Linked DNA regions of Oryctolagus cuniculus. The protein of the gene in region 1 interacts with the protein of each later gene in a biochemical or structural test. Links are inferred from orthologs where the notes say so. Each region holds a gene or a part of one and is shown in the gene's direction. Other genes may lie near its edges.

The links.
Region 2: of the proteins of PSRC1 (region 1) and ASB7, one has a biochemical effect on the other in vitro, tested with the Homo sapiens proteins (2 studies listed by BioGRID, with this or other methods). The link is inferred for Oryctolagus cuniculus from reciprocal best matches to the Homo sapiens genes PSRC1 and ASB7.

The regions. Positions count from the first base shown.
Region 1 is NC_091438.1:61,139,267-61,154,754, forward strand, and holds PSRC1 (proline/serine-rich coiled-coil protein 1), read left to right. Parts: upstream 1-8,617; 5' UTR 8,618-8,677; coding exon 8,678-8,690; exon of another isoform or gene 8,691-8,707; intron 8,708-8,992; coding exon 8,993-9,046; intron 9,047-9,145; coding exon 9,146-9,203; intron 9,204-9,638; coding exon 9,639-10,080; intron 10,081-10,385; coding exon 10,386-10,500; intron 10,501-10,590; coding exon 10,591-10,839; intron 10,840-11,172; coding exon 11,173-11,266; coding exon of another isoform or gene 11,267-11,270; intron 11,271-11,487; coding exon 11,488-11,491; 3' UTR 11,492-12,062; downstream 12,063-15,488. Other genes in the region: MYBPHL (myosin-binding protein H-like), read left to right, coding at 1-106, 251-410, 516-652, 2,044-2,268. UniProt on the Homo sapiens protein: Required for normal progression through mitosis. Required for normal congress of chromosomes at the metaphase plate, and for normal rate of chromosomal segregation during anaphase. Plays a role in the regulation of mitotic spindle dynamics.
Region 2 is NC_091443.1:9,932,954-9,948,374, forward strand, and holds the start of ASB7 (ankyrin repeat and SOCS box protein 7), read left to right. Parts: upstream 1-7,384; 5' UTR 7,385-8,046; intron 8,047-8,134; 5' UTR 8,135-8,182; intron 8,183-8,957; 5' UTR 8,958-9,029; intron 9,030-14,812; 5' UTR 14,813-14,932; intron 14,933-15,421. UniProt on the Homo sapiens protein: Probable substrate-recognition component of a SCF-like ECS (Elongin-Cullin-SOCS-box protein) E3 ubiquitin-protein ligase complex which mediates the ubiquitination and subsequent proteasomal degradation of target proteins.

The DNA.
Region 1 (15,488 bases):
AGATGTTTGGGGCCTCAACGCCACCCTGGAATGGACACCTCCCCAAGACACAGGCAACACAGTACTCCTGGGATACACGGTGCAGAAGGCTGACACAAAATCGGGGGTGAGGCCTAGCTGGGAGGGAGGAAGGGAAACAGGGAGGGAGGGAAGGAGGAACAGGGACTTCTGGAAGAAGCCTCTCCTAGCTCCATGTGGGGTGAGGTCACAGATAGCTGCCTCATTCATGGCTATTTATGGGACCCCACAGCTGTGGTTCACGGTGCTAGAGCATTATCATCGCACCAGCTGCATTGTCTCCAACCTCATCGTGGGCAATTCCTATGCCTTTCGTGTCTTTGCTGAAAACCAGTGTGGACTCAGTGAGACAGCCCCCATCACTGCTGACCTTGCCCACATCCAGAAAGCAGGTAAGGAAGGCACAGAGGCCAATACCTAGGAAGACTGGGGGAAAGGGGTTGAAGAAAGATGGGGCATATCAGCTGCTACATCATGTCCCCTCTTGCTGCCTGCAGCTACTGTTTACAAGAGCAAGGGGTTTGCCCAGCATGACTTCTCTGAAGCCCCAAAGTTTACCCAGCCCCTGGCAGACTGCACTACAATCACAGGCTATGACACCCAGCTCTTCTGCTGTGTCCGTGCCTCTCCCAGGGTGAGTATGGTGTTCTGGGGAGTGGTGGTACGGAGCTGCTGCCTGCTCCTATTCTGTCCTTACCTTAGCTATGCCACAGAGAGTTCTAATGCAGCATCTGTTACCATCACATCTGTCTGCCTCCTCAACATGTTATTTACGAACAGAGTCCTTATAGTCTGAGTTAGACTGATGCAAATGATGTTTCCTTTTGGTGTCTGTTCCTTATATATGAAAATGTCACTTACTGATATGCTAGCAACTGAGTGTGAGCTTCAAGTTGTTTATCTGGTAGGAATGCCAGAGTCCTATGGGTTTCTGACCCATCCAACTGTTCAGGGCCATGCGCATGCAGGCTGCTTAGAGTTGAGCCTCTGATTGTACCCTGAGCAAGGCTCTCTGCACATTTACAATCTAGTCACTACACTCTATATGTGTTATAAAACACCATTAACAATCTTTAACAAACATCTTTTGGGTTATGACTCCTGGGCCAGACTGCGTACTCTGGAAACTACTTTCTACCTGGAAGGGACAGGAGCAAAGATAAGCTGACAGTGGGAATAGATTATGAATGATTCACGGTACAAATATGAAAAAAGAGGAGCCCCTGTCCCTAGTGCTTATGATCCATGAAAGGCTGCTTAGGCACTACGGAACAGAAATTACCACTTTTCTTCTCATCAGGGATAGTCAATGAAGGCAAGGTGCCAGGTGCCCTTTTCAATCAAGAAAAGGAGCTTGGGGGATGTTGGAGGCACTGGAAAGGGAATCCTATCCCACAACATAAAGGATAGGGAGCCTTCCAGAAAGCCATTTTTTTTTTTAAAGATTTATTTATTTGACAACTACAGTTGGGTGGGGGTCTTCCATCCGCTAGTTCACTCCCCAAATGGGAGCATCAGCCGGGCTGGGCCAGGCCAAGCCAGAAACCAGGGGCTTCTTCTGGGTCTCCTACATGAGTGCAGGAATCCAAGAACTTGGACCATCCTTTGCTGCTTTCTGCCATTATTTCTAAATTATAGGGCGCAGCAGGTTTAGCTCTGCCTGGGACCCTGGTTTTCCATATCAATGTGCCAGTTTAAGTCCCAGATACTCCACACTTTTGTCCCGGTTTCCTGCTAATGTACCTGGGAGGTAGCAGACAATGGCCCAATTACTTGAGTTCCTGCCACCCGTGTAGGAGATCCAGATGGTGTTCTTGGTTCCTGGCTTTGGCTTGCCCTAACACTAGCCTTTGAGAGCATTTGGGGAGCGAAGCAGTGTACAGGAAATCAATCAACTTCCCCTTCCCTCGCCCTCTTTGTCATTCTTTCAAATAAATAAGTAAATCCTTAAAAGAGAGAGACTGAAAACTCAGAGTAATTTGTTCTTACTGCAAGCCCTGCTGCTGCTTTTCTTTTGTCTTTCAGCCCAAGATCATCTGGTTGAAGAACAAGATGGATATCCAAGGCAATCCCAAGTACAGAGCTCTCAGTCACCTGGGAGTCTGCTCCCTAGAAATCCGCAAGCCTGGTCCCTTTGATGGAGGCATCTACACCTGCAAAGCAGTTAATGCCCTGGGGGAGGCATCTGTGGACTGTCGGGTAGATGTGAAAGGTAAGGGCAGGAGGATAACTGTGGCCTCAGGGTGCTAATCATCTAAGGCTGGAGAAGTCAGGAGGTACCAAAGATATAAGCCCAGGTCGAAAGGGGTCTCTCTCTCCAGGCCCTCTTTCACTGTTATCATCGAGATGCGACTGAGGAGTCGTTTGTTGTCCCCCATCTTGTTTCTCTGCTTCACAATTCTGTAATACAGAATCAACATTTCCATTTTGCAGAGGAGAAACACAAAGCACAGGGAGCAACTGGTTTACTCAAGATCTCCAGGGCTGGTACCTGAGGAGCTGGTACTATGTTGGGAAGTAGCCTGTATCTCCTGGTCCTCCACTCAGATCATGTTCCTTTAAACTACATATCTTCTGACTCAGTCTAGGAAAGCTGCAGCTGTTTGTTAGGCTTTATTTAACTTTCCCCTCTGCTTTGTTTAAAGGTAATACTGCACAAGCTCCATTCCTTTTAGAATATTCATTTATCTGTCCAGTCCTGTTACCTTATTCAAATCTCCTTAACTGCATTTAGCTTGTTGCTTCATAATGACCTAGTTTCAGGTCTCTTTCTCCATTAAACTGTATGCAGTGTGAGGGCAGGAAGTGTCTCATTACCTGTGTCCCCCCCCCCCCCCCCAAGAATCAAGCCCTGGTGGGCACTGTCTAAATGTCTGTTCATGAATTTACATGTACCATTCTTCTCTCTGTATAACTCCCCTAGCTAGTACCATAACTCTCCAAAGCCCTGAAAGAGAATATTCCTTCCCAATGCTCTGAGGTTTCCCAGAGATTTCTGAGATGTTAACATTAAGAAATGATTTAATTATTGCAGCTCCTCACTGAAGCTACCCAAGAGGACATGGTGCTCTATAAAAGGTAAGAAGAGAGATGGGTGTCTCAATGGATTAGTTCACGTTTATAGCTAATGTTGTCGACTCTGGGACAGATGTGTATTCTGAGCCTTTCTATCAGGTACCCACCGGTGACTACTTTTTTTTAGCCATTTTTTAAAAAGCTAATATTATCATCCCTGAAGGGAGTTTATCATAGATGAAGTTTACGTTTGTCACATCCTTTATATGTTTGTACTCCTTGGGCTTGTAATAGAAATGAAGAGTGATAGCAGCTACCTCACGGGAGGTACTGTGGGAGGGAGTTGGACAGTTACTGCAAGAAAGGATGCCAAGGAAACAGCTGAAAAGTGGAGGAACTGGCCGGCGCCGCGGCTCACTAGGCTAATCCTCCGCCTAGCGGCGCCGGCACACCGGGTTCTAGTCCCGGTCGGGGCGCCGGATTCTGTCCCGGTTGCCCCTCTTCCAGGCCAGCCCTCTGCTGTGGCCAGGGAGTGCAGTGGAGGATGGCCCAGGTGCTTGGGCCCTGCACCCCATGGGAGACCAGGAAAAGCACCTGGCTCCTGGCTCCTGCCATCGGATCAGCGCGGTGCGCCGGCCGCAGCGCGCCAGCCGCGGCGGCCATTGGAGGGTGAACCAACGGCAAAAGGAAGACCTTTCTCTCTGTCTCTCTCTCTCACTGTCCACTCTGCCTGTCAAAAAAATAAAAAAAAAATAAATAAATTAAAAAAAAAAAAAAAAGTGGAGGAACTGACAAGAGTCACCCCACCACGGGTCAGCAGGGAGGGTAAGGACAGAGGAGGGTGTTTCTCTCAATCAAGTGCTCCCACCTCGGGATCATAAGCATGATAAGACACAGATTAGTTTACTACTGTTTCACTTTGAAGTTTATGCATACCTTCTCATCCAAGAGAAGAAAATCACCATTTTTACTGGATAGCAATAATAAATATTTGGATATGTAGTTTCCAGGCAGCACATGACTGGCATAGGGTAACTCAGCTTGTCATTCACACTCAAATCATTACTCAGATCTTGACAGCTCCTTCAACTTCTAAATCATTCACAGCAGAAATATTGTGTACAAAGCTCATGAGAAAATTAAAAAGGACTAGTTCCCAATGTCCCCTATGTCTTGCAGCTCCTGGTTGATGAAAGTTGAGAATGAGTTCAATCCCACAAACCATTTGTTTAAGCCTATCATTGATAGATAGCAAACGAAAACACTAAGCGATGCGTTAGAAGTGCAGACTTCACGGGAGAGCTCTCTTTGCCAGCTGGCTTGTGGAGACAGTTCTCTCCGTACCCGCTTCCCCTTCTCTGTGTTCATGCTGTGTTGTGTTAGTGTTAGTTACCCTCTTCCCCCTCTCACAGCCAGTGCCCAGCAATGAAGCAGGGTAAGTGGTGAATCCATAGCACGGGATCCAGGCCCCATGAAGAGGGAGTGTCTCAGTGTCCTACATGTGCCCTGGCTGTTTGCTGTCATGGCCACAACAGACCCTCTCTTTTCAGTGCCTCCAGGAAGCCTGCCTGTGGCGAGACTATTCTTAAGGAGCTTCAACACAATGTCTGGTTTGAACTAATCTAAATAAACGTGTGGATCCTCTGTGCATAAAAAACCATCTGTTTGAGCCTTTCTATATGGGAAAACATTGTGAAAATTAGAATCTTTCAGCCTGACTGGAATGTCAGGACCCTAAGATTCTTCCTTCTCTTTCCATAACCACATTCTCTTCCACAGAGGTTTCTGATGCTGTCCTTTGCCCTAGACAGTCTATGACAGAACTGAATTCACCTCTGCAGTGCTGAGTGTTAAGGAGAAATATTGAAGATGACTTGCTCTCTTCCTCTGTGGGCTTTCTAGGGTAATAAGAGTGCACAGGGCTCACAAAACAGCAACCAGAAATACAAGCATAGTTAGTTAAAGACAGAGCCCTAAGACCTGAGGGCTGAGATGGTACTGAAGAAACTGAGAACAGAAAGGGAGGCCTGAAGGTGAGGTTCCCTTATCTTTGTTTCCATTCTTACAACAAGTAAGATATTGAAGGCATTTTGTAATGGAATCTACAAAAGACAGCTCCCATCTTTGGGCATGATGCTTTTTCCATCAAGAGTTGGGGGTCTAGGTCTCTTTCCCGTGAATCATGTCACTTGCTTCAATCAAAAGAATATAACAAAAGTGTTGCTCTGTCAGTTCTGGGCCCATACCTTAAGAGAGCTGGTAGTTTCTGCTTTTGCTCTTGGAAGTCAGCTCCTGTGTAAACAATCTCAGGCTAGATGGCTGAATTGTGAGAGGACACGTGGAGGGCAACAGAGCATCCTAGCTGGCAGCCAGCACTGAGGCCCTCGATGGTGTGACCACCTTGGACCCTTCACCCCCATCAAGGCCAGTCAACACCTTGTGGAGCAGTGACACACCATCCCTGCAAAGCCCTTCCCCAGCTGCAAAATCAACAGCAAATATATGATTGCTGTTTCCAGCCACTAAATTTTGAAAGTGGCCTGTTACATAATAATAGATAATTGAACCAGCCTTCTATGTATCAGGCTTGAACTAAGTGCTTTGTCTCTTTTCATCTCCATTTTACAAGCACGAATTTAAGCTTACAAATTGCCCCAGGTCATGCAGCTGACAAGCAGCAGAGCTATGATTTGAACCAGATCCTCTCACCTCTGTCACCCCATCCTCCAGCCACCTTTGCAGAGGGTCTAGGTTGGAATCATGGGTTTTAAGAAAGAAAATATTTGTAGAAGACAACATTAGACAGGGTTTTGAGGAGGAAAGGAATATGATTTGGCTGAGAACAGTGTGAAGGGCTTTTCTGTTCAGACCAAACATCCATTTTCAAGTGAAAAACTGAATGTGTCTATTCCATCCCTTCTCAACTGGAGCTCCATGAGAATGAAGCCCCCAGGCCATAAGGCATCCATGTATGTCAGAAATCAGCTTCTTCCGATGAACCTAGAATGTTACTAGTTATGCACCATCCTCAGGAAAACAGAGAAAACAACCATGCAAATCATTTGCAGGACCTACTGTACTCACAGAACCTCTGCTTGAGAATGGAGGGGGAAGGGTCAGACTGCAGTGCCAGCCAGGTACAGAGGGGCTATGAGGTCTCCTCTAGTTGAAGCAGGGTCTAGGTCAGAAAGGGGTGAAAAACCTCGTTATGACGCTCTAAGGACCAGTCAGACCTTGGGCCTCAGCCCTCAGTCCCTGCCTTTGCTATCTGCTGAATTACTTAAGGGCCATCCCTTAACAGTCGTATGTTCTCAACTTTTACAGTGAAGGAATAAAGTCCTCACACTGAGCAAGACCTCCAGGCCCAGTCAATCCTTCTGCATCTGCACAGGCACAGCATCCTTAATGTTTTCTTCTATACACATGACATTTGTGGAATACCTGTGCCGGGCTCTCCGTGTGTGTGATTTCTTTCTTCATTCACGTTCATGCAAAATCTTAAACACTCACTACTTAGGGTGAGGTGAGCGCAACACCCATCAAATATTTCCAGATAGTGGCCTTATGCTGAGAGAAGAACTCTTGTACCTGAAATCTATACTTTTCGGCTTTACTGTTATTTTGATGGAGGAAAAAGTAGTGTTTTTGTTTTTGTTTTGCTGGTACTGCAACAGCTTTCCAAATAAAAACTTGGTGACAGAAAAATTGGAGATGAATTTCCTTAAAAGAAACTCACCTCCAATTTGCTAAAACTTACTTCCCCGGTCACCTGACTGGGTGCAAAGAGGAGTTCCCTACTCCGGTCTGCTACTAAGGGAAGGAAGCCTCTTGCAACCTCCTCTCCACTTTGCTACTACTCGCCTGGACACAGGGAAGCTTCTAGCTCTGGTTTTCTCACCCTCCTTATGATATCGGACGGCTCACTAATAATTTTCTATATTCATAAGCCTGTGGGCTCTTGCCACATATTCAGAGAATAATTCTAAATACTGGCTCAAATAGACCAAACATGGTAAGTTTTTTTTTTTTTTTTTAACATGGTAAGTTTTTAAGGATTTTATTCAGTGAGAGAAACGCGCAAAAGAGTGAGGGCTTTATTTAGGGGAGAAAGAAGCTAAGTTGGGTCCATACCAAGCAGAGAGCAGGCCAGGAGCAAGCCACATGGAGCAAGCGTATAGTTATGAGCAGCCACAGGTAGCTTAACACAGCAGCAAAGCAAGGCAGACAGCAAGCCAGTAGGCCCCACGCCCCAAAGGCGTGTGGAGCAAGAGTGAGCCCACTGTGTTCCAGGCCCATTTATTTGCTCCCAAAGGGGGGAGTGGTTACATCGTCTGATCGGCAGGTAGGTGTCCAGGCGAGGTCACCTAAGGGGGCATGAGATCACACAGGGGCTTGGTGAAGGTGTGGTCTCCAGTTTAGGAACCTGATTTGATCCTATGTGGCTGCCTACATCACTTAGAACCCGAATCGTGCAGCCAACACCAATCCTCTTCCCCCCGCTGGGATTCCTCACATATATTTGCACCTTCCTTTAACACCCCACTAAGATCCAAGGCTCCTTGGCTCCCGGTGGCATTTCTGACAGTCACCAGCTCACTCCTGCTGCTAAACACTACAGGAAACACAGACGCCTCCGGGTCACCAACTCCGGGGACTAAAGCTCGGGCTCTTTGTTGACGGGGTAAGGCCTCAGCCTGTCTCAGGGCATCGCTAACAGCTGACCCGGCCCATTTACAGACAACATCCCTAGTACGCAGGCTTCCACGTTACCGACACAAGCTCTCAGTCGGAGTCGGAGGGAGCCTGCGACTAACCCTGCCGGGCCGCGGGCCAAGCCCCGCCTGCCGCGCGTAGTCCCCGTCAGGACAACCGGGACGCTTTGCACCCAAGCCCGCCCCGCTCATAAACGGAAGCGTCAGGGTTGAGTTCGAACCTCAGTTTCCCTGTGAGAAAACATAATTTTTCCTTCACACCTCGCCTGCTTCAGGTTCCAAAGTTCTTGCTTAAAATCGTAATGGAGGACGTACGTCTTGGGAGACCTCTCAACAAGAGCCGACCTAAAATGGCCATGTTTAGTTACTTCCTTAACTTGTAAAAAAAAAAAAAACACGTGAAGAAACCTGGCAGACGCGGCGCTCGCAAGCTGAGCGCGTTCGCTCTGGCCGAGGGCTGCTCTCAACGACCCACCGACAAGCAGCAGTCTTCAGCTGCCTCACCGCGGCCGCGGCGGGCGGAACAGCCGCCCAATAACGCCCTGGCGCGACTGCGGCGGCGCGCTGAGCCCACACTCATTGGCCCGTTCCCTCGCGCGCCGCCACGAGGTCCCGCCCCCCTGGGCCAGGTTCCCCTCTGCTCGCCGCCTGGGGGTGGAAGCCAGGTCTCCCGGACGCGCGCGCGCACGCGCTCGCGGTCTTGCCCCATCGCCCCGCTCGCGCTCTCCCGGATGGAGTCATCCTGGGACCTGCTCCAGGTCCGGCCCCCACCTGCAGACTTCCGGCCGGCCGCCTCAGCCCCACCTCTGATGATCCACCAATCACTGTGCTCGTGCCGCAGGAGTGGGTGGGGCCTGAGAGATTCGAAAGGAGCCCCGCCCCCAGGAGCCGATTCCCGGGACAAGGTTGTGGAAGCAAAGCCTCTTCTGTGGATGGTGAGGTCGGGTAGGGAGTGGAAACAGGTGGGCTGGAGGTGTGGCGTGGATGTGGGGCCGCGGGGTGGAAAGGAGGCTTAGGAAGAGGAAGAACCCAGGAGATACTGGTGGGGAAAAGGAGAGGACGTGCAAACAGCCTCCGGGCACAGCTCGCTGCAACTTTTCCAGAGGGAGGGGGAGATACAGGCCCAGGTGCTACTCCGGGACGCTCGCTTTGCCTCCTGCCTGACCCCTGCCCCTGGCTTGCACCTTGAGGCTAGCGGGAGCCTTGGGCAGCATGGATGCTTAAGCAAAAGTACGGTTTTTCTCCAGCCGAGATCAGAACTGACTCGCTCTCCTGGCTAGACATGGAGAATTTGGAGGAAGGTAAGGAAACCCTGGGGGGCGGGAGGGGGGAGATGAGTCCCTGGGATTGAGAGCCCCGTCAGGGACCTTCAGCTGGCGTTCAATCTTCTTGGCCTCCAGATGTAAAGTTTATTGTGGATGAGACCTTGGACTTTGGAGGGCTGTCACCATCGGACAGGTACCAGCCTCTTGATCCCACTTGTTTTCCTCCAACACCACCTCTATGTATCTCTCTGCTCACTGCTGAGTCCTTGGCCCCGGAGCTTGGGTTGGCAAGTTTTGGTGCACTTAGGCTGCTGGGTGGCTGACTCCAGCCTCTCTGATGCTACCCATGAGGAGCTGAGAAGGGAGAAACTGGAGTTTGATTTTAGAATGTTAAGAAAGGCAGCAGATTCGCTGCATCTTCGTTCTGACATCATCTGTGATGTCAGTAAAGAGTAAAAGCCCTGCTAGACCTCAGGGAACCAGGTATCTCGTCACCCAGAAGCCAACATGGACCTCAGGACTGTGGTGTGTGTGTGTGTGTGTTGGGGGGGTGTTCAGGTTCCATTGCACAGAGTCCCTGTCTCCTGCTCTCTTTCGTGCGGGCATGGTGCCTTGTTTTCTGTCTCAGTCGCGAGGAGGAAGACATAGCAGCGTTGGCAACTCCAGAGAAACCACTCCGACGGGGCCTTTCCCACCGAAGTGACCTGAATGCAGTGGCCCCTGCGCCCCAGGGTGTGAGGCTCAGCTTGGGCCCCCTCAGCCCAGAAAAGCTGGAGGAGATCCTCCATGAGGCCAACAGGCTGGCGGCCCAGCTGGAGCAGTGTGCCCTGCAGGAGCGCGAGAGCGCGGGCGAGAGCCTGGGGTCCCGCCGGGTGAAGCCCAGCCCCCGGCGAGAGACCTTCGTGCTGAAGGACAGTCCTGTGCGAGACCTGCTGCCCACGGTGAGCTCTCTGGCTTGGAGCACACCCTCCCCCAGCAGCCTGACGCCTCGACACCGGAGCTCCGATAAGAAGGGCTCCACCAAGGCTCTTCGGGCAGCATCTGGAAAGAGGCCCTCTGGCCTCAAGAGGGTGAGTTTGGGGGACTGAGCGGGATGTGTGCCTGCAGGCACTGCGTGTGACATGCTGCAGGCATCGAGTGGTCTGCTCTCGGGGGCAGGAAGTTCTCCCTCTAGAATTGTTGGAGGTACAGATGCCACAGCAAAGCGCTTGCCACAGTGTCCGGGTACCAGCTCTGTAGTGTCCATGAGCAGCTAACTTCCGTCCTTCCTTGCTGTGGTCTCAACAGCTCCCAACCTCTGTCCCCGAAGCCCCTGGGCTCACAGAACTGATCCCTTCTCCATTCTAGTCATTGTCCCCCTCTCTTTGTGTTTCAGGAATCGCCCACTTGCAATCTGTTCCCTGCATCCAAAAGCCCAGCGTCTTCTCCTCTTGCCCGATCAACTCCTCCAATCCGGGGGAAGGCTGGGCCCGGTGGGAGAGCGACAGCAAGTGAGAACTCCTGGGCCGCAAAGCTGGGGGTGAGTGGGAGGAGGGAGGATGGGGAGCTAACCCTGAAATTCCTCTCCTCCTCTCCACCAGGCCAACCTACCCCTGTCAGAACGGTCCTGGCCCCACAGCCCGCTACCAGCAACTCTCAGCGCCCGCCCCGGCCACAGGGAGCAGCTGCCAAATCTTCCAGTCGCCTGCCGATTCCCTCGGCCATTCCCAGACCTGCCAGCCGCATGCCACTCGCCAGCCGGAGTGGGCCACCTGGCAAAGGTGCCCTGCCTCCTGATTCTGTGTCGACACGAAAAGGGCTTCCCAGACCAAGTGCTGCAGGCCACAGAGGTGAGGGGAGGTGGACATGAGGGTAAAAAATTGGGAGGAAGAATACCTATACCAGACCAACTTGACCTTACCCTGCAAGAGCTGGCTACAGCAACCTCTTCCACTGTCTGTATTTCCATGCTATTTGGAGATGGGGAGGCTGAGTTAAGAAGAGAATGTGGGATTGGGCAAAGAATTTTAGCCTTGAGTTCCAAATACTCATGGATTTAACCTTTTAGGGGATACCGATCCCCGACCCACTCTGCCTTCACTGGGGATTTGGTTTTGAGAAGTCAATTGAAGTTTCTGCTATTTATCTCTTTTGGTAAACCTCCCCCCACCGCCCCCATCAAGTTCCAGTTTCCCAGCGACCAAATCTTCCTGTCACTGGTGCCACTCGGAACAGTCTGCAGCCCTCCAGGAAAGTTGCAGTCTCAGGACCTACGAGGTAAGACTGGTTCCCCCAATGCACCATCCCTAGCATCTGGACTTCCAAGCTGATATGCACGTCAGCCTTGAATTCTGTTTGGAAAAAGGGAGGTGAGGAGGGAGGCCTGGAGCGGGGTAGGAGGGATCCTGTTCATCCCACCCTGAGGAGCTTGAGCCCAGCTGGGTGACGGTTGGGCTGAGGAAGAAGGGCAATTTAAGGATGCTCCGCTGTCTCTTTAGGTAAAGAGATGGGACCACAAGCAAGAACTCGGTAGCAAAGCACTACACTCACTGCCTGAACTCGTCTGCACTCAGCAGGTCCTGACTCCAGCCGATTCTGGCCCAGGGGCGGGAGGAAGAGACACCACCAGGGCCAGTCCCCAGGAATAGAGACCAGAGAGGATGAGGTGGATTAGGGCTGAGCTGGAGGAGACTCAAACTCTCTGGGTTGAAAGAAGATTAGTGAAAAAGAGGTCACTCCCCAGCAGTGAAATTAGCAACCAGCAAATGAGAATGGCAGGCAAGCCGGGGTCCACATCCACCTCCGCTCGTGCCTCCCGCCCCAGAGGTTGGTCTTCCTGCCTGGATGCAGACGTGTGATTTACCTGTGAACGGCCTCTGGGGCTGACCTTGAAGCTCTCGGAGGAGCAGGCTTCCTGAATCACAGCCTCTGCTGGACTCAGCTGGAGACAGGCACCTGGGCTCCAGAACTCGTTTCCTATGAATTCCGTGAGTTCTCACAAGCCAGTTTGTGACAAGCGTACTCCACTAGTCTGCGTTTTTCTAAAATAAAATGTATTTTTATATGCTCTGTAGACCTGAAAGTCAATCTGCTCAGTTTCTAACAAAGTTGAGTTAAACTTCTCTGTAATTTGGTGAAGGAGCCTGGGTAGGCCTGCCGGGGCAGAGGCTCCGAGAGGCTCCAGGGCCTTGACACTCCAGTAGTTAGGCTGCGACCGACCCCCTTGTTGCCATTGGATGGGAGCAGGCCGCCTTTCCCCCAGGAGTCATAGTGTTAGAAGTTCCAGATCAAAGTTGCACACAGCTGAATTTAGTGTGGAAGGCTGTTAAGCCCTGACCTAGGGAAGCTACTTCTGTCCTGAATGGAGCCTCTTAGGAACCTATCAGCTTCTCAGCCTGCTGCATGTGGGGAAGAGGAGGCCTTCTGGTCGTGGTCAGCTTCCCCGCGTGCCCCAGCAGATGTTGGAATGGAATACCTCGTCACTTTCTCAATTACATCATGCGAGTCGTCTGTGTCCCTTCACCTCCCCTACCGGACTTGAGGGCTGGAACCAGGATTGTACACCTCTTCGTTGCCCTGGTCGTGTCACTTGTACACAGCAGAGCATTTCATTAATTTATTCAGAAAATATGTGGGTACCAGATGGTGGGGGGTTATTGCATAGAGAAGACTCAATTGACAGTTTTAGTTTAGGGTCTCCTATTGGAGGCAGCCTTGGACACTTGCAACCAGAACCGACTTCATTCCTTATGAATTTTCATTTCTATTTGAGAGACAGAGCTGCCAGCCCCTGGTTCACTCCCCCAAATGCCTGTAACAGCTGGGCGTTGGCCAGGCTGAGGCCAGGAGCCAGGAACTCAATCCAGGTTTCCCACGCAAGGACCCAACCACTTGAGCCATCACATACTACCTCCCAGGGTCCACACTGGCAGGAAGCTGTGGTCTGCAGTGAGAGCTGGGAGCTGAATGCAGGCACTCCAATGGGAATTGCAGATACCTTTTTTTGTTTAAGATATATTTATTTATTTGAAAGGCAGAGTTACAGAGAGGCAGAGAGAGAGGTCTTCCATCTGCCAGTTCACCCCCCAAATGACCGCAACAGCCAGAGCTGGGCCAATCTGAAGCCAGGAGCCAAGAGCCACCTCCGGGTCTCCCATGTGGTTGCAGGGGCCCAAGGACTTGGACCATCTTCCACTGTTTTCCCAGGCCATAGCAGAGAGCTGGAACGAAGTGGAGCAGCCAGGACTAGAACTGGCGCCTATATGGGATGCCAGCACTGCAGACAGCGGCTTTACCTGCCAGGCCACAGCGCCAGCCCCTGTGTAGGTATCTTAAACATTAGATCAACCTTGTCCCCCTGGTGAGGTTTGAGGGAGTTTCCTTCCCTGAAGGCCTGGCCATAACTTAAGGAAGGCAGCAGGCAAATGGGAATGCCAGATGGTCTGTCCCCATCAGCACCCTGCTTAGACATTGAAGTGCCTTCCTGGTGTTACTGGTCATGGAGGGGAGGGTGGTTGTCGGAGTGAGTCTGGTGGGTTCTTTTCCTCAGCTTAGTATAGAAATAAAAAGCCGGGAATTTGCAAAGAGGTAGAAACTTTTTTTTTTTTTTTTTTTTTTTTTTTGACAGGCAGAGTGGACAGTGAGAGAGAGAGACAGAGAGAAAGGTCTTCCTTTGCTGTTGGTTCACTCTCCAATGGCCTCCGTGGCCGGTGCACCGTGCTGATCCGAAGGCAGGAGCCAGGTGCTTCTCCTGGTCTCCCATGGGGTGCAGGGCCCAAGGACTTGGGCCATCCTCCACTGCACTCCCTGGCCACAGCAGAGAGCTGGCCTGGAAGAGTGGCAACCGGGACAGAATCCGGCGCCCCGACTGGGACTAGAACCCGGTGTGCCGGCGCCGCAGGCGGAGAATTAACCTAGTGAGCCATGGCGCCGGCCAGAAACTTTTATTAGAAAAGAAACTTTTTTGATTGGCAAGTGACAGAGAAAGCGTCTGGTCCGAGAGGAGAGCAGGCGGAGTGCCCGAGTGGGACACCGGCATTGAGGGAGTGTCTGGGTTTTTAAGGCATTGCCGTCTGTTCATTGGGTCATCCTACTGGGGATGCCCATTGGACAGGGGTTTCACATACGTATGTTGATTGGCTTGGGGCTCAAGGAGATAGCAGGGTCTCCTGGAGACAGTCCGTCTCCTTAGGGGCTCAGCTCCCTCCTCTGCTAGCTCTGGGTGGAAGATTGCAACTAACTTGAAGGAATTATTTAAAACCGCAAGGTCACACAGGATAGCCAGGGTCTCCTGGAGCAGGTCCGACTCTCCCCAGGTGCTCAGCCCCTCCCCTGCCAGCTCTGAGTGAAAGCTTGCCCCCACCCAAAGGTGTGATTCAAGGCTGCAGGGTCACACATGCAAGCACAAGGAACTGTTAGTGAGGGAGATGCCGGTTGGCCTAGAGACATGCTTTCCAGCCACAGCTGATAGCTTGCTTATAAAGGAAGTTCTACCTATGTCTGAAGGGGCCCGCAGACCCCCTAGCCCCATTGGCCGGCCTCACTTTGCCCCTGGCGCTTTCCCCTTTCTGTTTCTATTGCTGATCTCAAGGTTCATTGAACGCATTCCCCTGCATCGCGGTGACAGCTGCCCAGCCCTCCACTTCTGCCTGAGCCTCTTGCAGCAACTGCACGTACCTGGGGGATTCCAAGCATGGATGTGGCGGTGGGAGGCAAAACACAGTGTCTGGCTCTGGAGAAATGTAGCATGAGGCCAAAAACAAAAAAAACCAAAACCTCAGGTGTGTTTCTCAGCTTCAGTAAGCAGGGCCCGTTGTGGACTTCTGGCTCTGACCGAAGCATGGAAGGTCAGCAAACCTAGGTAACCACCTAGGCATGGCCGGCAGGTGGCACGAGCTGGTGGGCTGGGTCTGAGCCAGCGGGCGGGTCGTGAACGGCGAAGCCGCAGCAGAGGCATGCGCTCTCGCCACCTGGCGGCTGGCGAGGGCAAGGCATGCTGTACTCTTCGCTCTTCCTCGCAGTCTGCAGTTTTGTGCCCCTTCCCAGCCCCTCCCGCCCCAAAGCCGCTTAGGCAGCAGTCGGTAGGCGGTGCCCTCCCCGGCCAGGTCGTGGCTGCACTTGGGGGCTCAGCGACCTGCCGGCCTCCTTGCCTTCTGGCCGCGCTTTCCGTTTTCTCTATGTGCTCCTGCCACCACATGCAGTAGCAACGAGAGCGCCAGTGTTTATTGGCCTCTTACTGGGAACTGCACTAAGCACTTTACAAGTGTTAACTCATTTAATTCTCATAAAAGCTCAATTAGGCAGCCGCTGTTATCATCGCCCTCATTGTGCAGGCAGAGAAACTAAGGCTGAGAGAGACTGAGTCACTCGGGCGGGTTCCAGGGTTCCAGCATTCCAGCCTCCCCGGGAACTCCCTCTCTGGTGTGTTGGGTGGAACTGTGACAAACACCGAACTAAAGACGAGAATTAACGATGGACATACTTGACTACAGAATGAGTA
Region 2 (15,421 bases), on another chromosome or scaffold:
GAAAATTAGTAACATAGAGCATGTGTGAAATAATTCCACAATTAGTTCCCACGGCTATTTTGCTATTATTTTGATTTTCAGTATTTTCAAAGTGCTATAGTTTTTAACTTTTGCAGTTTAAATTATCCAAAAAACTAAAAAAACCTCATGCCAAGAATGTGTGAATGCAGTCAGATTCGGAGCAGGAACTGAGACCTCAGGTCGCTCAGTCTTCCCGTGAGAATCAGACACCTGACAATGAGTCCAGCAGAAGTGGCACACACAGTGACATCACATCCTAACACAGCTCTGGGAAGTGTAAACTAAAACTGCCCCTGGAGAAGAAAACCCCTCAGGCTACCAGAAGTTACCAGGACAAGAGCTACAAGGAACTCCAAGGCCACCAGTCAGCCTCCTTTCTTCCAGGTCCCTTTTTGCTGGGATGATGGGACCAGGGTCTACAGGAAACGCCTTTCCCCAGCCTCACCATCCACCCTTCCTGCAGGTGGACGCACCTCTACGTTCACGGTGGCCCTACCTGCCGCACCCAGGTTTCCAGACAACCCCTGTGGCCCCAGAATGCTGCCTGCTATCTCCCCGAACATAAACTGCTCATCCTCCCCACCACAATGAGCTTCAAGGGCCAGGACACAGCCTCCGGGCAGTGGCCCTTGACCCTGGCCACACCACAACCCCTGCAGCACTAGGAAAATCCCAAGCCCTGGACACCTGGGGATCAGCAGCATCAGAATCGCGGTGCAGGTGGCTGGGTATTTGTCCAACGCCAAAGTCTTCCGCTACTCAGGGAATAAATTCAATTCTGGCTTCGTAAGGGTTTTTAGGAATTAAGTTCCATAAACATTTATGCTGAATTACTTCTTTTATATTTTAGGAATTAAGTTCCATAAACATTTATGCTGAATTACTTCTTTTATATGTTTTGTAACATTAGGATTAATATTTCTGTGGACTTTATTGCCTAAGTAAATGAAAAATAAAGTATGTCTGTCAAAACCTAGTCAATCTAAACTGCTTTTAAATCAATGAAAAGTTATAATATGAAAATTACATGGAGCCTGCACTGTGGTGTAGCGCGTGAAGCTGCTGCCTGCAGTGCCAGCATCCCATATGGGCGCTGGTTCGAGACCCTGCTGCTCCACTTCGATCCTGCTCTCTGCTATGGCCCAAATCCCTGGGCCCCTGCACCCACGTGGGAGACCTGGAGAAGGCTCCTGGCTCCTGGCTTCGGACTGGCCCAGCTCCGGCCATTTCAGCCAATTGAGAAGTGAATCAGCAGATGAAAGACCTCTCTCTCTCTCTCTACATAACTCTTACTTTAAAATAAACAAATAAATCTTTTTAGGAAGGAAGGAAGGAAGGAAGGAAGGAAGGAAGGAAGGAAGGAAGGAAGATAAATTACCAATTTGACACCACCAAGTCAATAAAGGAATTTGGAATGATTTTGTAGCACATTCTATGAAATTGTGGCAATATGATGCTCCTTATGATGAATCATTTGAAAAATTATTGCAACTTGAAGACGGGATTTTGAGGGAAAAACAAATGGCCAGGAGTATGGATGAGCTGGGAATCAGGAGACAAGTCAGCTCCCAGGAGCCACCTGGGCCCTCATGGAACCAGCACTTGGCACACACACTATCTCAACACATGGGTGCTGGGGCTGCTACAGGTTGAGTGCCCCTCACCCAAAAATCTGAAACTTGAAATCTGATACTTGAAATCTGATACTTTTTTTTAAACATTTATTTTATTCATTTGAAAGACAGAGTTACAGAGAGAGGTAGAGACAGAGAGAGAGGTCTTCCATCCACTAGTTCACTCCCCAGATGGCCGCCGCAACGGCTGGAGCTGCACCAATCCGAAGCCAGGAGCCAGGAGCTTCCTCCGAGTCCCCGACTTGGGTGCAGAGGCCCAGGGACTTAGGACATCTTCTACTGCCATCCCGGGCCATAGCAGGGAGCTGGATCAGAAGAGGAGCAGGCGGGACTAGAACCTGCGCCCAGATGGGATGCTGGCACCTCAGGCCAGGGTGTTAACCTGCTGCACCACAGCGCCGGCCCCCTGATACGAAATTTCTGAGCACTGAATTCCAGAGGGCTTTGGAGTTCGGATTTTTGGATTAGGGATGCTCTCAATTCTACATGTAAATATGCCAAAATCCAAGAGGAAACAGTCCAAAATCTGCACCACTCTGGTCCCCAGCACTCTGAACAGGGGACCAAACTGTAAGACACTCTACATAATCATTCACATCATTTATTCACTTCTCTCACTACTCTGTTTCATTCCTTTTGGAGTTCAATACTGTCCAGTTCTATAATCAGTAAATGTTGTGAAACTGAACTTGTAAATTTCACTCCAGTGTTAAAAATTGCAACCAATCTGAAGATCTAAGTGGCTTTTATTAGCAATTCGTGAAATGGGCAGCATGTCTCTTAGAGAGGGTAATTTGTGAAATGGGCAGCATGTCTCTTAGAGAGGGTTCTGGGAAGCTGAGCAGAGGAGGGGCTTAACAGGGAGGAAGGGCGGCAGAAGCAGGAAAGGGAGAAGAAAAAGTGGATCGGTTGTTTCCAAGAGACTTTCCTTACTTGGTAAAACAAGGTCGGCCCCGTGCATAGTGGGGAAAGCAGTCACCTGAGACACTGGCATCCCATATGGGCACTGGTTTGAGTCCCAGCTGCTCCACTTCCAATCCAGCTCCCTGCTAATGGCCTGGGAAAAGCAGAGAATGGTCCAAGTGCTTGGGCCCCTGCATCCATGTGGGAGACCTAGAAGAAGCTCCTGGCTTTGGGCTGGCCCAGCCCCGGGCCGTTGCAGCCATCTGGGGAGAGAACCAGTGGTTGGATGACCTCCTGTCCGTCTCGTTTCCTTTCTCTTTGTAGCTCTTTCAAGTAAAAATAAATAAATGTTAAAAAAAAAAAAAAAAAAAAAACCACCTGAAGGGAAACTTCCGTATCTCAATGGTTTGGGTAAACCAGGTCCCCTCTGAAGTCATTGGCTGTTTAGAAAACTGGACCATCTCACCGGCACCGTGGCTCACTAGGCTAATCCTCCGCCTTGCGGCACCGGCACACCAGGTTCTAGTCCCGGTCGGGGCGCCGGATTCTGTCCCGGTTGCCCCCCTTCCAGGCCAGCTCTCTGCCGTGGCCAGGGAGTGCAGTGGAGGATGGCCTAAGTCCTTGGGCCCTGCACCCCATGGGAGACCAGGATAAGTACCTGGCTTCTGCCATCGGATCAGCGTGGTGTGCCGGCCATTGGAGGGTGAACCAACGGCAAAGGAAGACCTTTCTCTCTGTCTCTCTCTCTCACTGTCCACTCTGCCTGTCAAAAAAAAAAAAAAAAAAATAGAAAGAAAACTGGACCATCTCAAGTCCAGCCTGCTTATGTGGCACCTGACACTGGTGCCTCCATTCTGGTTTGGTCTGGTCCGCCAGCTTAGTGTAGGCGTTTAGTGTAAGACAATGGCGTCTCAGACATTTCAATACACAACAGCAAAATACCACTGTACACTGGGAAAATCTGAGAGCAGATAGGTCCTAAAGCCGCTCGTATGTCTGAAATCCCATAACCCTAAAGCACTAGAGGTGTGACGTGGAGATCAAGGCTCCCGAGAGCCAGCGACGGCACCAGGGAGGAGCCAGGGACGAAGTCTAGCAGCACAGGCAGCGTTTCAGCCCTGTGGAGGGGACCGAGACACGAAGGTGTCACTGGAGAAGGAGGTATGACAAGCACGGCCCAAACCGCCTGTCTCTGTAACTGAACCCGGAGGAATCCCGACTGGAGCTGACCCATCTCCAGCCCCGCTGAAATCTAGCATCTCACCATGATTCAACTATCTACTCGAAGGAGAAAGGAAAATTTAGAAATTTGAACTTATGAAACGTGACTGTTGAGAAGTGTTAACAGGGCAAACACCTAAGAGCTGATTTTAAAATATCAGAAATTGTACTTCCAAAAATATGTGGCATCCTTAACATTTATTCTTTAAAATTACTTATTTATTTGAGAGGCAGAGGGAACAAATCAAATGCTATCCACAGTCTCTCTCAAAATGCCCACAATGGCTGGGGGGGGGGGGTGGGGTGGGGTGGAGAGAGCTGAGGCGAGAAGCCAGAGTTCAACCTGGGTCTCTCACGGGGTGTGGGGATCTAACTGCTTGAGCCACCTGAGCCATCAGCCGCTGCCTCCCAGGACCAGCATTAGCAGGAAGCTGGAATCGGGGGCTGGAGCTGGGAACTGAGCCCCGCCACTCAGATGTGGACTGCAGGCATTCCAACTGCCAGGCCGCACGCCAGCCCCTCAAAGCTGGACTTATGTGATTATTTTTTTCAGGAAGAATTATCTCGTTCTGAGCGTCACTGTTCCACACTCTGGGCAAAACCTCTCGTTTCAAGCTGCTCCCACACTCGGATGTATTTTCTTTCAAATATACCTTTAGATAACTGCACTTTCTGGGTGAATTCAGCTGTGCAGGGGTAGGGAGACTTTTCCCTGCCAAGGGCTGTTTGGGTATTTATAACATCACTCACAGGCCACACAAAGTTATCCGCTTAGAAATCAGCCTGCTACAGATTTACTGAATTTCAAGTCCTGCCGAAGGCCTCCTTGGCAAGGACAGACCACATGGTTCCACGGGCCTTACACGGTGTGCTGGCCGGAGAAGAAGGACTTTCATGTATGATTTGGAACCTGGCTCTTACTGAAACAGAACTTGGGTTTTCCACTCCGTGCCTGTGGTGAGGCTGTTCTTCCAAGAATTTGTATTTTCAGAAAAGTCTTACACAGATCAAGGGAAAGAGAACGTTGGGGCTCACCAGATGTGCATGCTAATTTAATTATCGATTAACTGATGCCCACGTCCCGCTACCATGCATGAGGGTCCCTCCAGAAAACGCACGTTTGGATGCCCCTCTTCCTACAAACCAGTGTGCTTTTCCATGTGTGATTTCATCGTTCAGTTCCTGGCCCAAGGGGCAAATCTTTAAAGGAAAAATGGGCATCTCAGACATTTCAGTCTTCCTGTGAAAAAATGGTTCTGCCAAAAACATGGTATTTCCCCAAAATACACGCCAACCCTTGACAAGTCAGCCTGTCCTGGAGTGGCTCCTCTCCCTCTGCAGGCTCAGCGCTCGGCCACCCTGCCGGGGTCCCCTCCTCCGGGGTCCCCTCCTCCGCTATCCTAAACGTGGCACCTGCAGGTGCTCAGTGCTCAGTCCCTCCATCCTGCCTCTCCTGAGATCTTCGGTTACTGCAGGTAGAGTTCCCTTCTCTGCAATGCTTGTATTTCAGATTTCAGGGTTTTTCTGATCTTGGAAATTCTGCAGGCTGGGAGCATCCCATTCCAAACCCCAAAATCAATGTTAAATGTGACGTTTTGGACATTTCAGGTTTTCAGACGAGGGACACTCAACCTGTACCCCCACCTTTAGGGCCTGGCTCTCTGCTGGGCTCAAGTCCCCGATGCCTCCTGGAGGCCCACAGGCCCCTTCCACGCAAACTCAACCCCTTCCATCCGCCCTCAAACTGGCTTTCTCCTGCACACCCCACCTGTCTCAACCCCCACCCCCCACCCCTTCCACCCTGGACACCTGCTGCAGGCGCCTCCCTGAGTGGCCGCATCTTGGCCCATCCTATGCCCACTGCCTTCTCAAAAGCCCTCAACTCTCCTAGGATAAAGTCCCCAAACCCATCAGCCGGTCTCCCTGGCTCTTCAAGATTGACTCCCGGGGTCTTCTCACCTCTGTGTCCCATAAATTAAACTCTTGGCTTGCTTTCTTTCTTTTTAAAGATGTATTTATTTACTTGAAGGTCAGAGTTACACACACACACACACACACACACACACGGGGGGGGGTCTTCCATCCATTGGTTCACTCCCCAATTGGCCACAATGGCCAGAGCTGCGTCAATCCAAAACCAGGAGCCAGGAGCCTCCTCCCGGTCTCCCACACAGGTGCAGGGACCCAAGGACTTGGGCCATCTTCCACTGCTTTCCCAGGCCACAGCAGAGAGCTGGTTTGGAAGTGGAGCAGCCGGGACTTGAACTGGCGCCCCCGTGGGATGCTGGCACCGCAGGCGAGGGCTTCACCTGCTAGGGCGCAGCGCTGGCCCCATAAGCTCTCGGGGGCACTTTAAGGGTGCCCAGGATGTGCTCCGCTTCCTCCCACCCGCCCGCACCCTTCCAGACAGACACCAGCAGCCCCGGAAAGCCTCCCGCATGTCGACTTCGGGGTCAGCCAGCGCGGCCGCACGCCCGGTCTGCCCCGGTCAGGGCGTCCACCTCCCCGCACGGCCGCCTGACCTCGATCAGGAGTTTCCCAGCACAGGACGGAGCCCAGGGCCCAGCTAAGCCATCCACGGGTAGCTCGTGTGCACGGCGCTGGGTATGACCGCGGGGGACAAACGCCACCCTTGGACCCCACCTGCCACAAAATGTCCGTGCATGTTTCTTCTATACACGGAGGAGGAAGGCTTTCTTTGAGGACACTGGACACGGTCAACTGTGATTGAACCCCAGCCCAGCCCATCCCTCGCACACTGCAGAGCAGCCAGGGACCTCCCCGCAGCCCCGCAGCCCCGCACCGCTCCCGTCCACGACGCCGGCCGTGCTTCTCGCAGCGTCTGTCAGGAGCAAAGCTCCCTCCGGAGGCCCTGCCGCGGAGCCCGCTCCAAGGTCACTTTCCAGCCGGCCACGACCCCCGACGTCCCGGCGCCCGGTCCCGGGCCATTGCGCGTTCGCCGCCTGCCCCGTCACGGTGAAGGCACAAACGTCGGGCCGGCGCCCGGGAACAGCCGCCGGGTCAGCACACCGCCGCGGACCCAGGAGACGCCTTCCCAGCCCGAGTCCGCGGCTCGCTCTCTCTGCCTTCCCCTCACACACGATTCCGAAAGGTCGCTACCCTTGCCGGAAAGCGCCCGGGCCGGCATCACCGGTCCTCCCTCCCACCCCCAGCCCGGTGGCTAACGGGGTCTCGGGGAACCACAGAGCGACCAGCGCCAGGCACCTGCGTCTCCCAAGCGCTGGGGAGCGACGGGTCAAGGCTCGCAACTGCCGCCTCCACAGCCTTTACGCCCCTCAGCCTGCCGCACGCACGCCGCCCCCGCCGCCGAGCCCAGCGAGAGCACCCGGTTACCTGCCCGGAACCCTGCTCACGGAACTCCGCACTCGCAACGCCATTCCATTGAGCCCTACCCTCTCCGGGCCACCGTAGTTCACGGAAAGTACACGATGGCCCCTCCCCCCGCATGCGCAGAGGCCGCGTTCAGCGTACCGCGTCTCTTAGCAACCGCTTCGAGTCCCCCCCGCCAGGGGCGGAGCCTCGGAAGCCACGGCGGGGAAGCCGCGGTGGGGGGGGGGGGAAGCAAGTGAGACCAATCAGAAACGAGTCCCAGCCCAGATCGGCACGCCTCCTCCAACTGTCGCGAATGCGCAGGCAGCTTTACGGCATCCAGGGGGTGGGGGCTGCCGGGGTAAGGAGGAGAGAAGGAAGCAACCAACCAACCAAGTCGCCCCCACCCCCCACCCCCACCCACCCCGGACCTGGTTTACGGCTCCGGGCTCAGGCTCCAGGGCGGCCGCTGATTGGTCGCTGAAGGCTTGGTCCCATCCCAGTGACCCCAAAGTGCTGGAGGGAGGGGGCGGGGGTGGCCCAGTGCAAAGTGCATCCCGAAAGCCCCCAGTCCGGAGACCCCGCTGCTGGCACTTGGGCCCCTGTATGACCCGGGACCTCGCTGTCCCGCGACCTCCTGGGTCCCTCCGCAGCTGGAAGCCTCCGGCCCGGAGTGCGGCAAGCCCCTGCTCCGAGCCCCTGGCCCGGGACTGCCCCCCCACCCGAGCCGGGACTTCCTCCCTGCACCCCTGCCCCGAGGCTGCCCGGCCGCCGGGACCGCCGCCCCGCGCCTGCTCGGCGGTGCGGATGCTCGGCGGCTCGGGGCCGTGAGGGGAGCCCCCGCGTCCGGCCCTGCCTGGGGTGTTTCTTCAATGGAGAAGTTGGCGAGTGTGGAGGAGACGCAAAGGAGGGAGAGGGGCCGCAGCTGAGGGGACAGGTAAAGTCAGTTACCTCCGCCGGGGGGCCGGGGCCGGCCGGGAGGGTGGGCGGGGGCGAGCCCCCTCCTCGCCGCTGCTGTTTTCCAGGTGGGAGCCGGCGGCGGCGGGGAGCCGGGCACCAGCATCTGCGGCCAGGTAAGGAGCCGGGCCTCCCCTCCCCCATTGTTCATCCCTGCCTCCCCCCCCCCCGCGCGGGGCTGCATTTGGGGGGCAGTTGCCTGGGAGTGCACCCTCTCCCGGCCCCGCTGCCCACGCGTGACCCCGGCGCCCCGATAACTCCTGCACGCCGGAGCCGGCTCTCACCCCTGCGAGGGCCCGGCCCCGTGTGTTTCCGCGTTTTGCATGAGCTCTGCCCTGTGGCTTTGAGAGGTTTCGGGTAGCGACCCCCGCTTCCTTGCTCTCGGAGGAATTCCTCAATTCCGTGTTAATTGCTCGTTAATTCTGAAGGACCCTGCGTGTTAATTAACCCGCAGTTTACTGCTCTCCCCGACCCCTTCCCGTGTCCCCTTGCCTCTTCCTCCACCAGGAAATCTTTGGGGTTTGCTAGGGGACGGCCTTTGGTAGGGGAAGGGAAATTAATGGCTTGTTTTAGGAAATAATTTTGATTTTTTTTCCTACTAAGAAGTGGATCTGTGCACCTTCCTCGTGCAGGCAGCAGTAGTGGGAGCACTTGGGGACCGTGAACTCGGCTTCTGGGTGACCGATACAGGTGGACTAGGAAGGGACTGGAGTTTGTTACACCGAAGATCTTCTAGAACTGATAGAATTTTGCACAATGTGTTATTAAGTCATTTGACACTCAAAAAATTAAAAAAAAAAAAAAACACCAAACCAGAGAGATCGTTTGATGTGTTGAAGTATGTGGGGCTTCCAGTGGCAACACTTCGTAAACGAGATTCTCGCTTCACAGCTCTTACAGACTTTGCGTGTCTAGTTCACGTGCCGCTGCGTGGTGTGCCGCTGCCTCGCAGATCCGCCCAAGGTAAGTGAGCGTTAGTGTCGTCCCCGCGAGGCGGACTCGGAAGTCAGGTCTCACGGCAGCCGCGACTTTGTCACCTCCCGTAGCAAGAGTGAAAGGCAGCCTGTTCGCCTCCGAGTTGTTCTGATGTTGCTGACCACTTAGGGAATTTCTGGCGCAAAGACGTTCTTGGGAGAGATTCAGATTGGTGACTTCCTCTGGGTCACTAGACCTTCTGCTCCCACGACGTCTCTGCTGATTCTCTACATGTGGCTGAAGACACTGTAGCGGGGTCTGGAGACCTGGACGCCGTGGGAGACTTGTAACGAGGGTGCTGCTCCGAGGGAGGATGTGGGAGACTTGTAACGAGGGTGCTGCTCCGAGGGAGGGTGAAGGCAGCCTTGGGTGTGCGTGTGGGGAGCCAGGGGTAGCTCCTTTTCAGGTGCACTTGTGTTTGTGGCCGTATGGAGATCACCAGAGACATCGAATGATTAAAACTCTGCCGTGCTAGAGCATTTGAGGTGTGTTTCCTTTGCAAACCTTTTCCTGTTTCACGTTTAGTCAGCATCTGAGGCACTAGGTTTCTGGGATGTTTACTTTGCTGAGGGGTTTTGCCAGCTAAGATGGTAGGCGAGGGACCCAGGGCCTCTCCAGCTTTGAGGTAAAGAAAGAACCTTGCTTTCTCCGGTTGTCTAGCCAGGTCGTTCTCACTGCTTCAGCAGTATTTCGTGTGCCCTCTCGATTTCTCATGCTTTTTCTAAGATTAGGGAATGTCCAGTAGAATTGTCAGCGTCTGTCACGTTTCTAATGTTAGCATGATTGAGAATGTTTGATGTAGGTGAAGCCGAACATCTGAAATATGTGAGTATTTTTATTTACCGACACGGTCAGTTAGGTAGTTGATGTGTTTCAACCTGGCGGTTACCTTGGTGTTAATTCTGTTGCCAGTTGCTTGGTTTTTTGGGGGAAAAATAAATCATCTGGTTTGCTTGGTAACCAGACACACATCTGTGATCACACAGGGGATAATGGATTCTGTTGTTGTTGGAGAGAGCTTCCATCCTCTGGTTCACTCCCCAAAGGCCTGCAGTGGCCGGGGCTGGCCTGGGCTGAACCAGGAACCTGGAACTCAATGTAGGTCGCCCACAGGGGCAGCAGGGACTCAGCTTCTTGAACTTCCACGGCCGCCCCCAGAGTCTGCACTGGCAGGAAGCTCCGATCAGTAGCCGAAGCCGGGAATCTAACCCGGGCACTCGGATGCGGGCTGTGGGCATCTTCGCTGGTATCTTAACTGCCAGGCCGAGCACCTGCTGCAGAATTGTTTTTAATGGAAGATATTCAGCGATACCTGTTCAGTATCACTAGATGTATTATGGCCAAGACTTGTGCTTTCTATACTGAAAGTGATGTCATTCTCAATTAGTCAGCGTGCTGCATAAGGTGTGTCTATTTCATTCTCACTTGACTTTGGTGGTGCAGAGGTTTAAACCATCTGTAAAAAGTCCAGGTTGGGTGGAGTTGATATTCTCATCGCTGCTAACCTGAGTTCCAGCCTCTCTCTTCACTCTGAGCAAGGGAGGCGAAGCCAAGTGCACTCCCCAAGTGGAGCGATGGCCTCTTTCCCACAGATTCCCTAGGCAGCGACATAGGAGGCTGCTAAGCCGATACTGGCAGACGTGGTTAATAAGACAGGGCCAACCAGACCTCGTCGTTTATAGTGTTTGTGACTTAAGCTTCGAGCTGGATCTGGATAAGTGAGTTTTCAATCTTCCTCTATTGCCTCATCCACGTTTCATGAATGTGTGTGTTTTTACTGGAACTCGGGTGACTCATAGATAAGTCGTGGATAATAAATCCTGAGGTATACGGATGCCCAGTAACGGGGCGGAAGTAGAAATCCCCTCACTGGCTTAGGAACATCAGCCCTTGGTTGTAGCGAGTGACGCTGACATAACACATCGACTTTCTTTTGGGTGCTGGGCCCTCGAGCACACCAGGAGGGCTGGGCAGCCCTCGTGTGTTTTGGTCTGGCCTCTCGGTGTTTGCTGCAGGATGTCCGAGAGCCACTGACTTCACTCCCTTAGCGGCCTGCACCGTGATTTACTCTGCTGCCTTGTTCCTAGCTGGTGTGCAATCAGAAGGCACAGTTCTGATTTGTGTCACCTGCTCAGAAAATGCGTGGACTCTCAGTGAGAATAATAAACAGAAAAACCATACATACCTTAAATACCACAAATACCATGAATCAGTTATTCCAGAGAAACGAGATGTGCGACCAGCCTTGGTGACGGTTGTGTGATGCTGGGCAGGTCTTGAACACCCCTGTTTCATGGTTGTTTTTACCATTCGCCTTATCCTATCAGCATAGACTTTTTTCTGTCCACTGTAAGAAGTGAGAAGTCTTACCTTTAAATGAAGTTCACGTGGCAGCTCTATGGAAATCAGGTGGTAATGTATTTAAATCCCTAAATTTGTAGTTTCTAATATGGTCCAGGGTATAAAAGCTGGAAGCCTGTTTTCTATTGATCTCACGTGGAGTGGGAAAAGATGCATTAGCGAAACCGACGCATAGTATTAGCATTGGCAGTGAGACTTTGGGTAAAACGACGTATGTTGGGAAAATGGTTCATTTTGATTGTGCAGGCTTGTTTGTGTGCAGCTTTTTTGTTTTCTGACTGAAGCCTGGAGTCTCTGAAGACTGTCCTCTCCTGGGTCCACAGCCACCCTGGTGTAGGACGGCTGACACGTGCATCCGCTGTCGGGACACTGGCCTCCTTGGCCGTGTCCCTTCATTGCGTAGGTGGCTTGCAGGACCGTATTAGATTTTGAAGCGTGCGCTCCCTCAGGGGGAGTGGGGCTTTGCCGGTTCTCATCTCTGGAATTCCTCGGTGGCTTTTAATAGGCGTCTTTACCATTGGATGCTGCATTTGCTTTTAAATTGCAGTCTTCCCCGCCCCTTTTCTGTGCACAGGTGAACAGCTGTACTCTGTTAGATGCAGATCTCATGAAATAGCCAGAGGACACTAGTCACTTGACTGTTGACGGTTCTCTGGTAAATCGTTGTCCTCTGTGATTCCAAGTGACGAGGTGGCCGGGGTCATGTGTGTGTCCCGCACGTCTTACCCCATGAATATCAACACACAGGCACATGCCACAGGCGCTGTTTTGGTTTAAACCTATGGTGATTATATATAAATAATCTTAAAGTTCACTGGGGGTCTGCAGAACACTGTGTTAGGACATCACACAAAGGTGACTGCCGTGGCCGCGACAAGCACCGGGCCGCGCAGGCCAGGTACTCAGCGGGCGTTCGTCTGACTCCAGTCGGTCGCGTGCAGTCACCACAAGGGCTCTTGTTTGTGCGTCTTGCTTGTGTGAGAAATCATTTCGTCGCTCATCTTGCACGCCAGGCCTTTTCCTGGCGTTACTACCAAGTTGCTGCTGTTTTACCCTCTCGGCCTCCGGCCTGCGTGCCCCTTCCCATTGAGCCCAGCTGCCTGTGTGCGGTGGTGACAGGGAGGCAGAAGCCAGCAGCGCCCCTAAGGATCTGGGCGGGAGGCAGAGGGTGTGAGGGCACACAGGTGGGAGGCGTCCGGGGTGGTCCTGCAGCTCCCGCGGGACGATCGCAGGTTCCGTGCGGGAGGCAGACGGTGTGAGGGCACACAGAGACGGGAGGCGTCCGGGGTGGTCCTGCAGCTCCCGCCGGGACATTACGCAGGTTCCGTGAGGGAGGCAGACGGTGTGAGGGCACACAGAGACGGGAGGCGTCTGGGGTGGTCCTGCAGCTCCCGCGGGAAAGGATCGATCGATCACAGGTTCCCTGTGGGAGGCAGACGGTGTGAGGGCACACAGAGACGGGAGGCATCCGGGGTGGTCCCGCAGCTCCCGCGGGACGATCGCAGGTTCCGTGAGGGAGGCAGACGGTGTGAGGGCACACAGAGACGGGAGGTGTCCGGGGTGGTCCTGCAGCTCCCGCGGGACGATCGCAGGTTCCGTGCGGAAGGCAGACGGTGTGAGGGCACACAGAGACGGGAGGCGTCCGGGGTGGTCCTGCAGCTCCCGCGGGACGATCGCAGGTTCCGTGAGGGAGGCAGACGGTGTGAGGGCACACAGAGACGGGAGGTGTCCGGGGTGGTCCTGCAGCTCCCGCGGGACGATCACAGGTTCCATGCAGGAGGCAGAGGGTGTGAGGGCACACAGAGACGGGAGGCGTCCGGGGTGGTCCTGCAGCTCCCGCGGGACGATCGCAGGTTCCGTGTGGGAGGCAGACGGTGTGAGGGCACACAGAGACGGGAGGCATCCGGGGTGGTCCTGCAGCTCCCGCCGGGACGATCGCAGGTTCTTCTGCAGGAGCGTGTGAGCTCGTCATCAGAGACAGTTCCATTTTAGAAATAAAGTTCACCGTAGGTTTACAGAAGCTAGGACAGAGGTCACGTGTTTTCCATACCTGCTTCCCGTCTGTCATTGGTTCACGTGGCCCCACCTTGGCAGGGGTGGGGACTGTCCATGCGCTTCTGAATTTTAGAACAAGCTTCCTTTCTCCTCCATTTTTTAACTGAGGCAGTTATTTATTTGTGTCAGTATGAACTCACTGAAAGTTACGTGACACTTTGGGTTTCCATCCAGACTTCCTGAAGCGCTTCCTTGCCCAGATCATCCCGCCTTGTCCGTGGGAGCTCTCTGAGCTGGCTCCTCCGTCCCTCTGTCATGCCCCGTCCTGCCGCTGTTCTGTGGGCGCTTCCTTGCTGACCGGTGTACAAGACAGCACCAGGGCCAGCCTCCAAGTTCCTGCCCAAGTCTTAGAATCCGGCACGTACGGAACGTGGTTCTGTGCGTTTTACACAGTGCCTTGTAGGAGTCAATCTGATCGTGTCGAGCTCATGTAGTTAGAAATACTAGAGTTTTAAATCCCATTCTGTTTCCAAGTACAAGTTGGTAAGCTCTCTGCCTTCCCTGAAGAAGTGTGACAAGGGAGAGTCAGGTGAGAAGAGAGGACGAGGCAGACGGGGCTGTGCCTGTGCCGGGATGGAGACCTGCAGCCGGCGGGAGGCCTGGCCCTGCCTCTCCTGAAGGTGCAGGTGACAGAGGGCTTGGCACACCACACACCACGCAGCGGTGCGGCGGGGCTCCCATACGTAATTCCTGCTGTGTGGAAGTCACTGTGCATGTGGCCCTAACCCTAGTGGAGCGCAGAGCTAGGATTTCGTCGGCAGGGAGGAAGCGCGCCATACACATGAGTGTTCTCAGAATCCCGGGGAAGCTGGCAAGACTGTTAAGGTTTTTCTGAGTCTGCCGTCTTTCTTCATAGAGGAGTCCGTTTCAGCATGAGGGGCTTGGTGTCTTCGGAGAACACGAAGAGTGGCTTTTAAAGGTAGAATCACCGCAGATTGCTTTTTCGTGCCGGCCACCTTCTGTATCGAATGCACAAGCTTTCTCGTTTTAGTCCTCTTTAGAGAGAATAGGTGATCATGGTGTCAGAAACAAGTGGAGCCAGTCTGGGAATATATTCTCAACAGAGGAAGAAGAATTCGTGCATACCTACAAGTCCTGAATGTGTGATTTATTCTTTTCTTCACTTAATCTTTTTTGTAAAGCTGCCATCCGGTGGGAGGGAGGGATCCTGAAAATAAATCACGTTTGATTTCATCTTGGAGATTAATACGTAAGTGACGAAAGCATTTTGTCAAAGAACTGATCTGCGTCCGCAGCCCTCTGGATTTGCCGTCAAGTGCCGAGACCCCGCGGGCAGCTCTGGTTCTGGATTCGCTCAAGGAGTTTCCCACGGTTCTTACTCTGTTTGCTTGCAGGTTGAGAAGGCTCTGGGGCTCTGCCGGAGGACGCACACTGAGCCCATCCCCACCATGCTGTATGTGCACAATGGTTACTAGGCAATCCACATACCAGGAGAGGGGACATTCTTCCGTCAGGTGAGGTGACGCGGGGGCTGTGTTGGGAGACCACCTGTTCAGCTTTCTGTTTCTTCCTTTAAGCCAGCCAGTGTGTGCTGGAAGAAAATTCAGGATTGCATCGCCGCATTCACCCTCTGCCACGGTAGACCGGTCTGCCACCACAGCAGAATCTGAAAGATGATGGTCTGAGCGTGCGACCGTAGATCCCATTAACTCCCTCTGATGGCCTTTAACACGCGGACTACGATAAGAATCAGGAAAGACCTATTCCGACAAGATTCCTTATTTTCTTTCAAAATTTCTGAGACGAGACTTTAGTTTTGTCATTAAGTGAAGGAGTGAGGGAAATCTTACCGAGGAAACAAGTTGTTAAGTCTCTCATCTCCTGGTTTTCTCGGAGAAAATGGCGCTCGATAGCAGTCATGTGACAAAATTCCACCACTTGGTAGTGACGCTTCGGGCTGAGTGAAGACCCCGACTCTGTTGAGAGCACCATCAGGTGCCTGT